Neurospora crassa OR74A: one gene and its partner. The protein of the gene in region 1 interacts with the protein of each later gene in a biochemical or structural test. Links are inferred from orthologs where the notes say so. Each region holds a gene or a part of one and is shown on either strand. Other genes may lie near its edges.

The links. The genes of interacting proteins can lie anywhere in the genome.
Region 2: the proteins of bni1 (region 1) and bud6 form a complex in vitro, tested with the Saccharomyces cerevisiae proteins (5 studies listed by BioGRID). The link is inferred for Neurospora crassa OR74A from reciprocal best matches to the Saccharomyces cerevisiae genes BNI1 and BUD6.

What each region holds. Positions count from the first base shown.
Region 1 is NC_026505.1:4,767,172-4,772,229, forward strand, and holds the start of bni1 (cytokinesis protein sepA), read left to right. Parts: upstream 1-1,780; 5' UTR 1,781-2,327; intron 2,328-2,745; 5' UTR 2,746-3,123; coding exon 3,124-5,058. Other genes in the region: NCU01432 (hypothetical protein), read right to left, coding at 1-280, 375-401. UniProt on the Saccharomyces cerevisiae protein: Required for the assembly of F-actin structures, such as actin cables and stress fibers. Nucleates actin filaments. Binds to the barbed end of the actin filament and acts as a leaky capper, slowing both polymerization and depolymerization.
Region 2 is NC_026502.1:3,557,400-3,562,427, forward strand, and holds the start of bud6 (actin-interacting protein), read right to left. Parts: upstream 3,052-5,028; 5' UTR 2,585-3,051; coding exon 2,330-2,584; intron 2,148-2,329; coding exon 1-2,147.

The DNA of each region.
Region 1 (5,058 bases):
CTTCGTTCAGCTCCTCCCCGTCATCCGAATCAAAGTCAGTACTTGGGCGGTTATCAGCCACATCGATGCGATCTTGCAGTCTGGCCCTCCACGCCGAAGTTATAAACCATGTAGTAATGCGATCGGTGAGGCGTGCACGCAGGGATGATGCTCCATCGGTTATCGTCTCGAGCGGAAGATATTGGCTGTAGCGGTTTCGGTATCGTTGCCAGATGGGAATGACGGCGAAGGTTAATACGAGGTAGAGAATCAGGGCTATGATCGCAGGGACAATTAATGTCTATAGGTGTTCGAAGAGGTTAGTGACTGGGAAACGAACAGCATAGAATCGTGACTGATCTCCTCTTGAATGTCTGTGTCTTTGTCTTGCTCACCTTGATCGCGGAAAAGTCGGCGCCCATGATGACGACAACCTGGCCCGCTGCCGTGCAAGGACTTCAACGAGTCCAGTTACAGAATGTGATAGTCTCGGCTGAAGAGGCCTTGAGGTTGTGATAAAAGGCTATGAGGCTGAACAAGCCAAAAGTGGTGGCCGCGGCGTAAAGTGCCCCTGTTGCCTACGGAGGTTCCGCTTGCGACAAACCTATGTAACATATACAAATGCGGCACGTAATCGCGTGCGGAAAGGTGTACCTGCGCTAACTGCGCGCGCAGTACATACTGTAGCCACCTGGGCTTGACAGCCCAGACGTTGTGGAACAGTGCACTGTAGAGTTCCTGGACTGGGCTCACCCGGCCCTTCCATGTATCGGGTCTCTGTGGCATGGCCCGACTGAGCGAGGCCCGGGCCCAAAATAGCAACGGAACGACACCCTCAAGGTTGATGAGATGCAGAAACCTAACAAACTGCCCTGATGATCCAGGGGTATCGACGGCCTCATGTAGGGATCTCAGAGGATGTCTTTCCAACCAACAACATCTGTTCCTATACAGTTTTGGACCTCCACAAGTGTGTTTCTCGCTCATACCTCTAGCTTGAGGACTTTTATTCTTTTGTCTTCAGATCATCTTGACCTCTTTTGGTTGGGATAGTGAGACGCAGGGATGATGATACTCGGATAGAACGGTGATGATTGGGCAAGGGATCATGAGCCAATCTTAATACCAGTTCGATGTGATTCCATCATATCAATCTGCCCCCACCAGGGGCAGTTTGGGAAGGTGGAGGATTAAGCCAAGTCATAGTTCCAGCCGCTATGCCTACTTATGCTATTGTATGGATGTACGCAGTACATAGTAATGTGGACATATATGGCGCCGCTGAATGTGCCACCAATGCATACGAAGATGACCTTTATCACCATTATGCGTATTGTTTCAGGTTGACCAGCGGCCTTTTCAGTGCTCAGTTGACAAGTTTCTATCATTGAGTTTCTTTCATCCTATTCTGTGCCGATTTGTGGTTCCATCACTTATATGAACCATCGGTTAGGTTCAGATGATGGATGTTTCGGATGGTGGATGGGAAAAAGAAAGAACGGAAGAAACCCGGACAGTCCCTGCGTCTTGACCACTAACAAATTCCCCGCCTGTGATTCAAGACATCAGGGGTGATGATGTGCCCAGCTAAGCCGCTTTCAGCGCATCGAGACCCCCTTTGCCGTGATGTTGAGGTCTCCCACCAGAAGGTGCAGCTGTTAAGAGAGTGCACGGTGCACCCTCCCGCGCCATGCTGGAGTTGCCCCTGCGATTGCCGAGCGTTGTTAGGTTCGCGTTCACACGGCAAGGAACCCCAACCTCACTCTCTCTCAAGTGATCTCTCATTCGGCTCATTCAACCACTTCACCTCAGTCCAGTCTCGCTGCAACTTCTGAATGGTCATCTGCCTCTGCCTCTCCTTTTCCCGAGCTTGTCTCTATAGCTGATAATTCGCGGGTGAGCCAGCCACCACCGGACAACGCTCCACCCGTCGTCGTTGCCATTGCTCCTTTTCTTTCCCAATCATCGCTCATAGAAGACCACCATTCATTTGCCGCCCGATCTCAAATCAACCTTCAATTTCGTCCGAGTGGGTAACTAAGCCCGTCCAAGACAGGCCCTCCAGTGCCCCACGCGCGCGCGCGCTTCCACCCCAAAGTTAGGTACCGCCAACGACCTGGGCCAAATCCACCAGACCCCTCGAACGGGAGAGTCCGTCCCTGACGAGCCCTGACGGTTTGACCAACGAACGGCATTTTGTTCTTCTCCTAGTTCAGCCTCGGCGTAGCTGTCTAAGTACTCTGGCACTTTTGGTAGTGAGCGAGCTGAGCGTCGCATACCTACCTACTCATCACCCCTCCTTGCCGTCAGCCAGGTCGCCAGTATACTGCCTCTACACTACACACTAGGTAGGTAACTACAGTACTCTATCTATACTTCCAACACGAGATCCAGAAGTCGAAGTCGACGACATCCTACACTACTACCTAGGTATTTCCAGGTTTCGCCGGCTACGCTACACGGACAGACGCGGGTACGGATATTTGCGCCCGCTCGTACATTTGCGACTTGACCCCTTTGACTTTCACTTGAGTTCCATTCCCTTCGAAGATCTGGATTGTATTGCCAACACGGTCTCGATGCAGTCTAGTTTGGGTCAGCACACATCCATACACATCTCGCCCGAGTGCGCTCATCCCACCAGCTAGCAGTGCTAGCAGCTAGCCTATCTCGAGGCCCGCCTCTGCGCAAAAGCTTGCCCGGGCACGGCTACCCTCCGAACTCCTCAACTTGACCTCATGCTAAAAACACCAATGGTTCATGCAGCAGGAAGGCCATGCTCACCAACCGTTATTGCCCGCAAAGAACATGATGCGATCCACCCAGGGCCTCAGACACCGAGTCCATTGACGGCATTTGCTCCGTATCCATTTCAACGCACTCATTTACCAATTGACCCACCCGCGCATTGATTGCCTATACAACTACCCACTCCGCGCCTCGAGACGAGACCCGACCCGGCCCGGCCCCTCGACACCCCTCGACGCCCCTCTACAGCGATCCAGATACCCACGATACCCGCTCGCCTATTGCTGAGGAACCACCCCCGAACAACACGTAGGCAGCTTGCGCTGCTGGGACTGTACTCTGGTGTACTGCCCTGCCGGTAGCGAAGCGGCCGCTTCACACATCCCGTCCCGCGCCATGTCCTCCCACGACAAGAATGGGAGGGCTACCTCCTCGAGCGGCAAGGCCTCCTCCTTCTTCTCGAGAGCCACTGGCAAGAACAAGGCCGACAAACGGAACGCAAGCGATGAGGGTGGCCGATACCTTGCCGCCGACAACGACGCCGCCAGCACCCATACCGCACGCAGTTCGCGCCATTACCGGGACTCGTCTGTAATATCGCTGGACCGTCCCGACACGCCCGAATCTGGCCTCAACATGACGGCAGGGGTCGTCACGACGATCCCCTATGACCCTGTTTCCCCCGACAATCGCTCCCCCGTCGCCCTCGACCACCTTCCCAGGCCCGACCAAATGCCCCTAAGGCGAGAGCTAGTACCGCACCACCTCAACAAAGGCACTGGTGACTTCCACCAGTATCCCACCATCGACCAAAGCCCAAGCTCCCCCTATAATGGGCAGTCACCCAGCGCATCAAGTTCGCGCTCAACTCTCGCTACTGCTAACATCACCATGGCCTCCACGGGCCGCCAGGCCCAGTTTCAGCAATGGGGACCACCGAGAGAGAGCAGTTTGCCCGGGTACAATTCCAGAGGCCACTCGTACATGACAACCCGCAGTTCGGGCGACAATGCCAGCATCTACTCAGGTAGGGACGGACACTACCAAGAAGCCCCAGGAACCAGCCATCGCTCATCCAGGATAGGACTCCCTAGTACTTCGTCTCAGTCATCCTACCTTTCTCCCCATGCCCATAAGGACAGAGATACCCAGCGGTTAACCAAGGTCGCTGCCGGCCACCAGGGCTCCGAAGGATTCAACTTTCCCAAGCCAGACGATGACAATGTGATTGAACAGATGTTCATAAACCTGATGCAAAAGCGAGGATGGCACAACCTCCCGGACCAGGCCAAGCGCCAGATGATCGCATACCCCGCCGCGAAGAAATGGACCTTGATTTACCAGGATCGACTCACCGAGTGGCAGGGCGAACAGAAGCGCAGACAGACGGCCAAGATTGGCCAATACAGCAATGTCGATATTACCCAATCCTCCGATGACGAAGGCAGCCCCGAGTGGTATGTGCGCAAGGTCATGGAAAACGCTCTGGACAGCAAAGGGCTCGGAGGACTCGAAGTCAACCTTCGGACACAGCAGATCGGCTGGGTCAAGCGCTTCATCGACTGTCAGGGACAGATCGCCTTGACCAATGTCCTGCTAAAGATGAACCGAAAGACTGCCTATGGACCTGCTCAGCCGGATAATGGAAGATTGGATAAGAATTTGGACCGAGAATATGACATTGTCAAATGTTTGAAGGCTCTTATGAACAACAAGTTTGGCGCAGACGATGCGCTAGCTCACCAACAGGTTATTGTGGCTCTGGCCACCTCCCTTATATCACCTCGGCTCACCACCCGGAAGCTTGTCAGCGAAGTCCTGACATTCCTCTGCCATTGGGGCGAAGGCAAGGGCCATGTCAAGGTCATCGAGGCCATGGACGTCGTTAAGGCCCAGCAAGGCGAAAACGGGCGCTTCGATGCTTGGATGCGTCTTGTTGAGGTCACCGTCGACGGCCGCGGGAAGATGGGCAGTTTGGTCGGTGCTAGTGAGGAGGTACGAAGTGGTGGCATTGGCATGGAGAATCTGCTCATGGAATACGCCGTTGCTACCCTCATCTTGGTCAACATGTTGGTCGATGCCCCTGAGAAGGACCTGCAGCTGCGCATACACATTCGGGCTCAGTTTACGGCCTGTGGCATCAGGCGTATCCTGAACAAGATGGAGGCCTTTCAGTATGAGCTGATTGACAAGCAAATCGAGCGGTTCCGCTCCAACGAAGCTATCGACTATGAGGATATGCTCGAGCGTGAGAACAGCAGCATCAAAGATAGTATCGAGGGTGAGGTTAAGGACCTCAACGACCCGGTACAAATTGTAGATGCTATACAG
Region 2 (5,028 bases), on another chromosome or scaffold:
TCTTGCAGGTCGTCTACCTGGTTGACAAGCCGGTCACTATCGGCGTTAAGCAGTTTCCGACCCTTGGTGACGTAAGCGCGACCAGAGTCGCCTTCCCCATCGGGAACGGACAACTTGGCGGCGGCGGTCTTGACATTGTTGGCCTTGTTGCGAAGAGTAGTCATGGACCCTTGGACTTCGGACTGGAAGTTGGAGTAGGTCTGGCGAAGAACGGCGAGGTCGCGACGAAGGGATTGGATCTCGGTGAGCTGGCTTGGGCTGAGCTTCTTGGATGAGGAACCGGCAAGGGCAGCAGCACCAGCGACAGAGGAAGACGAAGAGCGTGGCGAAGCCGTCGAGTCCATACCACTTGGTGCGATGATAGTGGGAGGCGGCGTGGCGGCAATGCGAGCGAGATCCTTGGCGGTCTCCTGTTGGCGCTCCGACACACGTTGAATGGCGGCGTTTTGATCGTCGACATTTTGTTTAACCTGCTGGATGATGGTCTTGATGGACCCGATACTCTTGTCAATATGCTTCTTGACTTCATCCAAAACCTCGACATTCAACACAAGCACTGTACGGTCCTTAATATCGGACAGATCCTCAAGCTCATGGCGGACACCGGAGACGGGATCTTGAATGTAAATTTCCGGTAGATCAGCTCCATTCTGCTGCGTGTTCCACGAGAACTTCTCAATAAAGGCCAGCTGAAGACGAGCCATAGACAGATGCTCGTAGCCCTCAGGGAGCACGAACTTCTTGACCTTGGACTTGTACTGCAGGAAGAGGGTCAGTTCCTTGGTTGCGGGGGGTGAATTCTCGAGCATAAACGAGCTGGGCGGTTGTTTATCGGGAGTCGAGGCGCGAATGGACGGCTTGTGTTGATGCTGAGGAGCGGCAGGCGCAGGAGCAGGCCTCGTAGCAGCGGGCTTAGACGAGTCTACCTCATCCACCATCGGGATAGGATCTGCGAGCGGGCCATTAAGGGTAGCGCTTGGAGTAGGATACTTGTCATCTGGCGCCTGGACATTCAAGTTGTCGGCCTTGCTAAATGTATAAGAATCGGCCGTTTCAGGCTCTTCAGGAACCCGGCTGGGAACTCGAACGGGAGAGGAATCGAGGCCAATGGTACGTTGGGACTGGTTCGAAACATTGCGGCTGTGGCGGGGGGTTTCCCTTACGTGCATCGCCCGCAGCGACTCTCTTCTAGCCTCGCGGTTGCCCCTATCGGGTATCGGCGTTGTCTGGGGTGGGACCATAGCGCCGAGATACTTGGAAATCTGGTATGCCTCATATCTGCGGGAAGCTCGTCTTTCCAGATTACCTCCTCTTTGGAGAGCCGCCAAGGCGCTCTGTCCCGATCCCTTGGGCGGCGGCGGCGGCGGAGGGAAGTTGTCCACGTTGATTTCGGGTGGTGCCGGTGGGCCGGTTGGAATTGTCTCTTCACCTGGGTAAGGCGCCATAACGGGTATGTTTTGCATCGTGTTGCTCGACAGGCTGGACTGGTCAGAGGTGACAGAGCCGCGAGATTGGTCCCGTTGCGAGGGAAGACGTCTGGTGGGTGATGCCGTTGTAGGACCAGAGTTCCGAGAATCATCCCTGAAAGAGTCCGGTCGGTAGCCATTGCTCTCCAGCCCTTCGTTCAGCATGTTGGTGAGCCCAGAATTAACACTAGCCATGGTACTAGTGCTCGTAGTTCTGGTGGGCACGCCACTGCTACTGGGCCCAGGTCCGCGACTTGGACCATAGCCTCCATCGTCTCCCGCGATACTCGGCTCTCTATCCCGCTGCTGGCGATGCCTTAGCTTTTGCTGTTTTCTTTTTAAACCATGCAGCAGATTTATGATAATATCACGTATCTTTGGCAGGTATTTCTCGAGACTTTCAGCGCTGGCTTCTTGACTTAGAGTGGCCTCCAGGATGGTGCGCAGCATCTCGGGTACGTTGCCCAAGTCGTCAATATCGACATTGATGGCAGTAAAGGCTCGGCAGGCCATATTAAACTCGTAGCCCAGCCGTACGTAGACGTCGGAGACCTGGGTATCGGTTGCGTTTCCACGGGACCATTGTGTCAGGGTTTCGAGCAGTTGCTTGGTGGCCACAAGTAGATGTGTGACGCTCCTTTCGATTTGCGATAGTGGGACGGACGACGAGCCGCCAGATGACTGTTGTCAGATGCCCTGGTTAGCAGCGAACTGGCAAACGGCAGAGGAGGATTGGAACAGAGGAGAGGAGAGGCATCATGACGCGCGCATGTAGATGGAAAGACTCGAGAGAAAGGGGGACTGCAAAACAGGCCGATGGTAACAACAGTAAAGGAAGCCAAGGCGGGAAGATGATTACTCACATTGTTTCGCCTTGTGCTCCCACCGCCGGCGGGGCCGCCGCCGGGACCTTGAACTGAGCGACTTGAGCCAGCTGAAGACCTCGACATGCCAGCTTGGGGACCCATCTGTCCTCCCATCCCAACGGCGGGCGATATTGAGCGGGCCGGCATGTTGGAGGGCGGGCCACCACCACCACCACCACCACCACCGGGTTCGGTGCCCGGGGCGGGGGGGCGTCGCTGCATGGGGCGGCCGGGACCCGGGACATTCATCATGTGCTGCGCTGCCTTGCTGTCTGATGGATGTGATAGAGCTTGTGATGTTCAGGGCAAATGGTCGTGTCGCAAAAAGGAGATCACGTCAGGCGGGATGGCTTGTGTTGTCGGGTCGGCACCTCTAGCAGATGTTGGGCAGAGATGGGAGATTCGACGGCGCGTAGATGGCGGGAGCTACGTCTAGACCGGGCCGGGGGCGTTTGGCGACAGGGTCTTGGTCGCTTCAAATAAAGAGATAGTGAATCGGTTTGACGGGATGACAAGAGCCCTTCAAGATGCTGGCGACGACTGATGTTGCTGGCCGTCTCAATCAGGGCGGCGCATCAGGATATGGTGGCGGACAGTAGTAGGTGTCTTGTCTAGAAACAAGCTTTTGAGAAATGCGCGAGGTTGTGTTTGTTGATGATGGACAAATACTATGGAACTGCGTTGAGGACGGATGTCCCGTCGTTGCTGACAAGTCGGGGACTAGGTATAATTGCAGTGGATTGGAACTTGTATCGCCAAATGGAAGCCAAAGTGGAGGCGCAGGCCATGGCAACGGCTCCAGTTGGGCTGCCAGCCGCTGTGGTGGGCTCCTGACCTCGCTTCCCTTCAGTTGTTTTGCATTTCGCCATCACTGTTGGTTCAAGCAGATTGTACTAATACGTTAGCTTGTAATTTCCAGGCTGTTACTGTTAGTGATGGCTGGGCGCGGTAACAGCACATGATACCCGCTTAGCTCAGAGGAGCGCCTGAAGGTGAGCACATGGCAAGAAGAGGGCAGGGGATCCTGAGGGGTAGCCGTGCCCTTCCCTGGACAGGGGTAAGAGCGGCCGATAACAGGGGGTGCGCTACAAAATATCCATTCTCATTGTTGGTAAACACTGTCCAAGCCAGCCATGGCTGTGATTAACCTGTAGCCCATGTGATCGGGCCGTCTCACGCGACTCAACACGACCCTGGGGCTCTTGTCCCCCACAGCCCTGCTGAACAAACAACTCCCCGTGTTTCAATGTTTCATCCAAACCGCCAAAGACAAGGATCATCACCATCACCGCCAGATCTCCGCATCTTGGACCAAGGATGTTGACAATAGCCGTCATTCTGCTACACCACCATCTCGTCAAATGCCTTTTATTTGTGGCACATCATTGACGTCGCACCTCATCCATTGCCATCCATGTAAAACACAGTACAAGCAGCAAAGTCAGGGAACGTTGAGAGGCCACACCGACAAACACACCATGAACATATAGAAGGCGGCAACCTACCTACTGTCCACCACCTCAGTATTGAGTCCGGTCCTCTGTTCCTTCCCCGGATGTCCTCATTACCAAGATCTCACCGAATCCTCTTGAAGTTGGTGGTCCTGGGGGGAAGGGAAGGCGCAAGGCACCGACCGGGCAGAGAAATTGGTCCAAATCCAGACAGCCTCGAAATTGAAAGTGTCCAAGTGTCCTTCAGCTTGAGTTTGGGCTTACGTTTTCTTCCCTGCAGTGTCCGTAACAACAACACAGATGAACTCAGTTCCGTCTCCAACTCGTATCTTGGAGGTTCAATGCCATCCGACTTCACGCGGCCTTCGACTACCGATATTCATGAACCCTACACGGGCGCGGAGCTGGAGGTGAACTCGTCAGCGCAGTCCATGTCAAGCTTCCAGTCGGCAACAACAAAACAAGGCACAAGAGGATCGCCGACATCAATTGCTGAAGGATTTCAACTGGAGTGTCGCATCTCGAACGTTGTGTACAACCCTGTATTGAACAACACGGTCTGCTGGACATACCGTCGTCTATCGGCCAGGTTGCCTCCCATCCTTCCACCATGAGCAAACGCAGATTATACCAGGCAAATTTGCAAGCTTTGACACCCATGTTATTCAAACCTCAGCCATTCGAAAAGGAACCATCATCCCTTACTACCTGGGCACATCAAAGGGCTCCATGATGCGTCGAATCTCCCTCGCCATAGTCCGCCGAGTCTCCCGCGGTTTCCGAGGTCTGTGTGGCACCCGCACAAGAATATTGCCCTCCTGTCTCTCTTCTATCTGGAACATTTCGAGTCGGGCATCTCTCCCGTGCTCATCCGATTTTCCAGCAGACGAGCTGCTTCTGTCGAGGCCATGTCAGTCATCATCAGCGAGACTTGTCATGAAGGATATCAGTCTTACTGCTTGCTGTTGGGCATTGTGAGCGAAATGTCAACAATGTTCTGAATGTTGAGTTGAGGTAAAGGGGACCGACCTCCCCGTGTTGAGCGCTGACAACTCAGGCAGCGTGGCTTTTATCTGTTTGTCAAGGCAGCTGCTTTCTACATCGAATCCGGAAGACCCTGGATGACAATAGACGTCGACGATTCCCCTACCAGGAAGAACGCACTGGGGCTCGTGAGGCCCCCATCTCTCTACACCAAACCATGCCTCAAATGGCGTACCTCGGACTGGATGCTGGCTCGAGTAG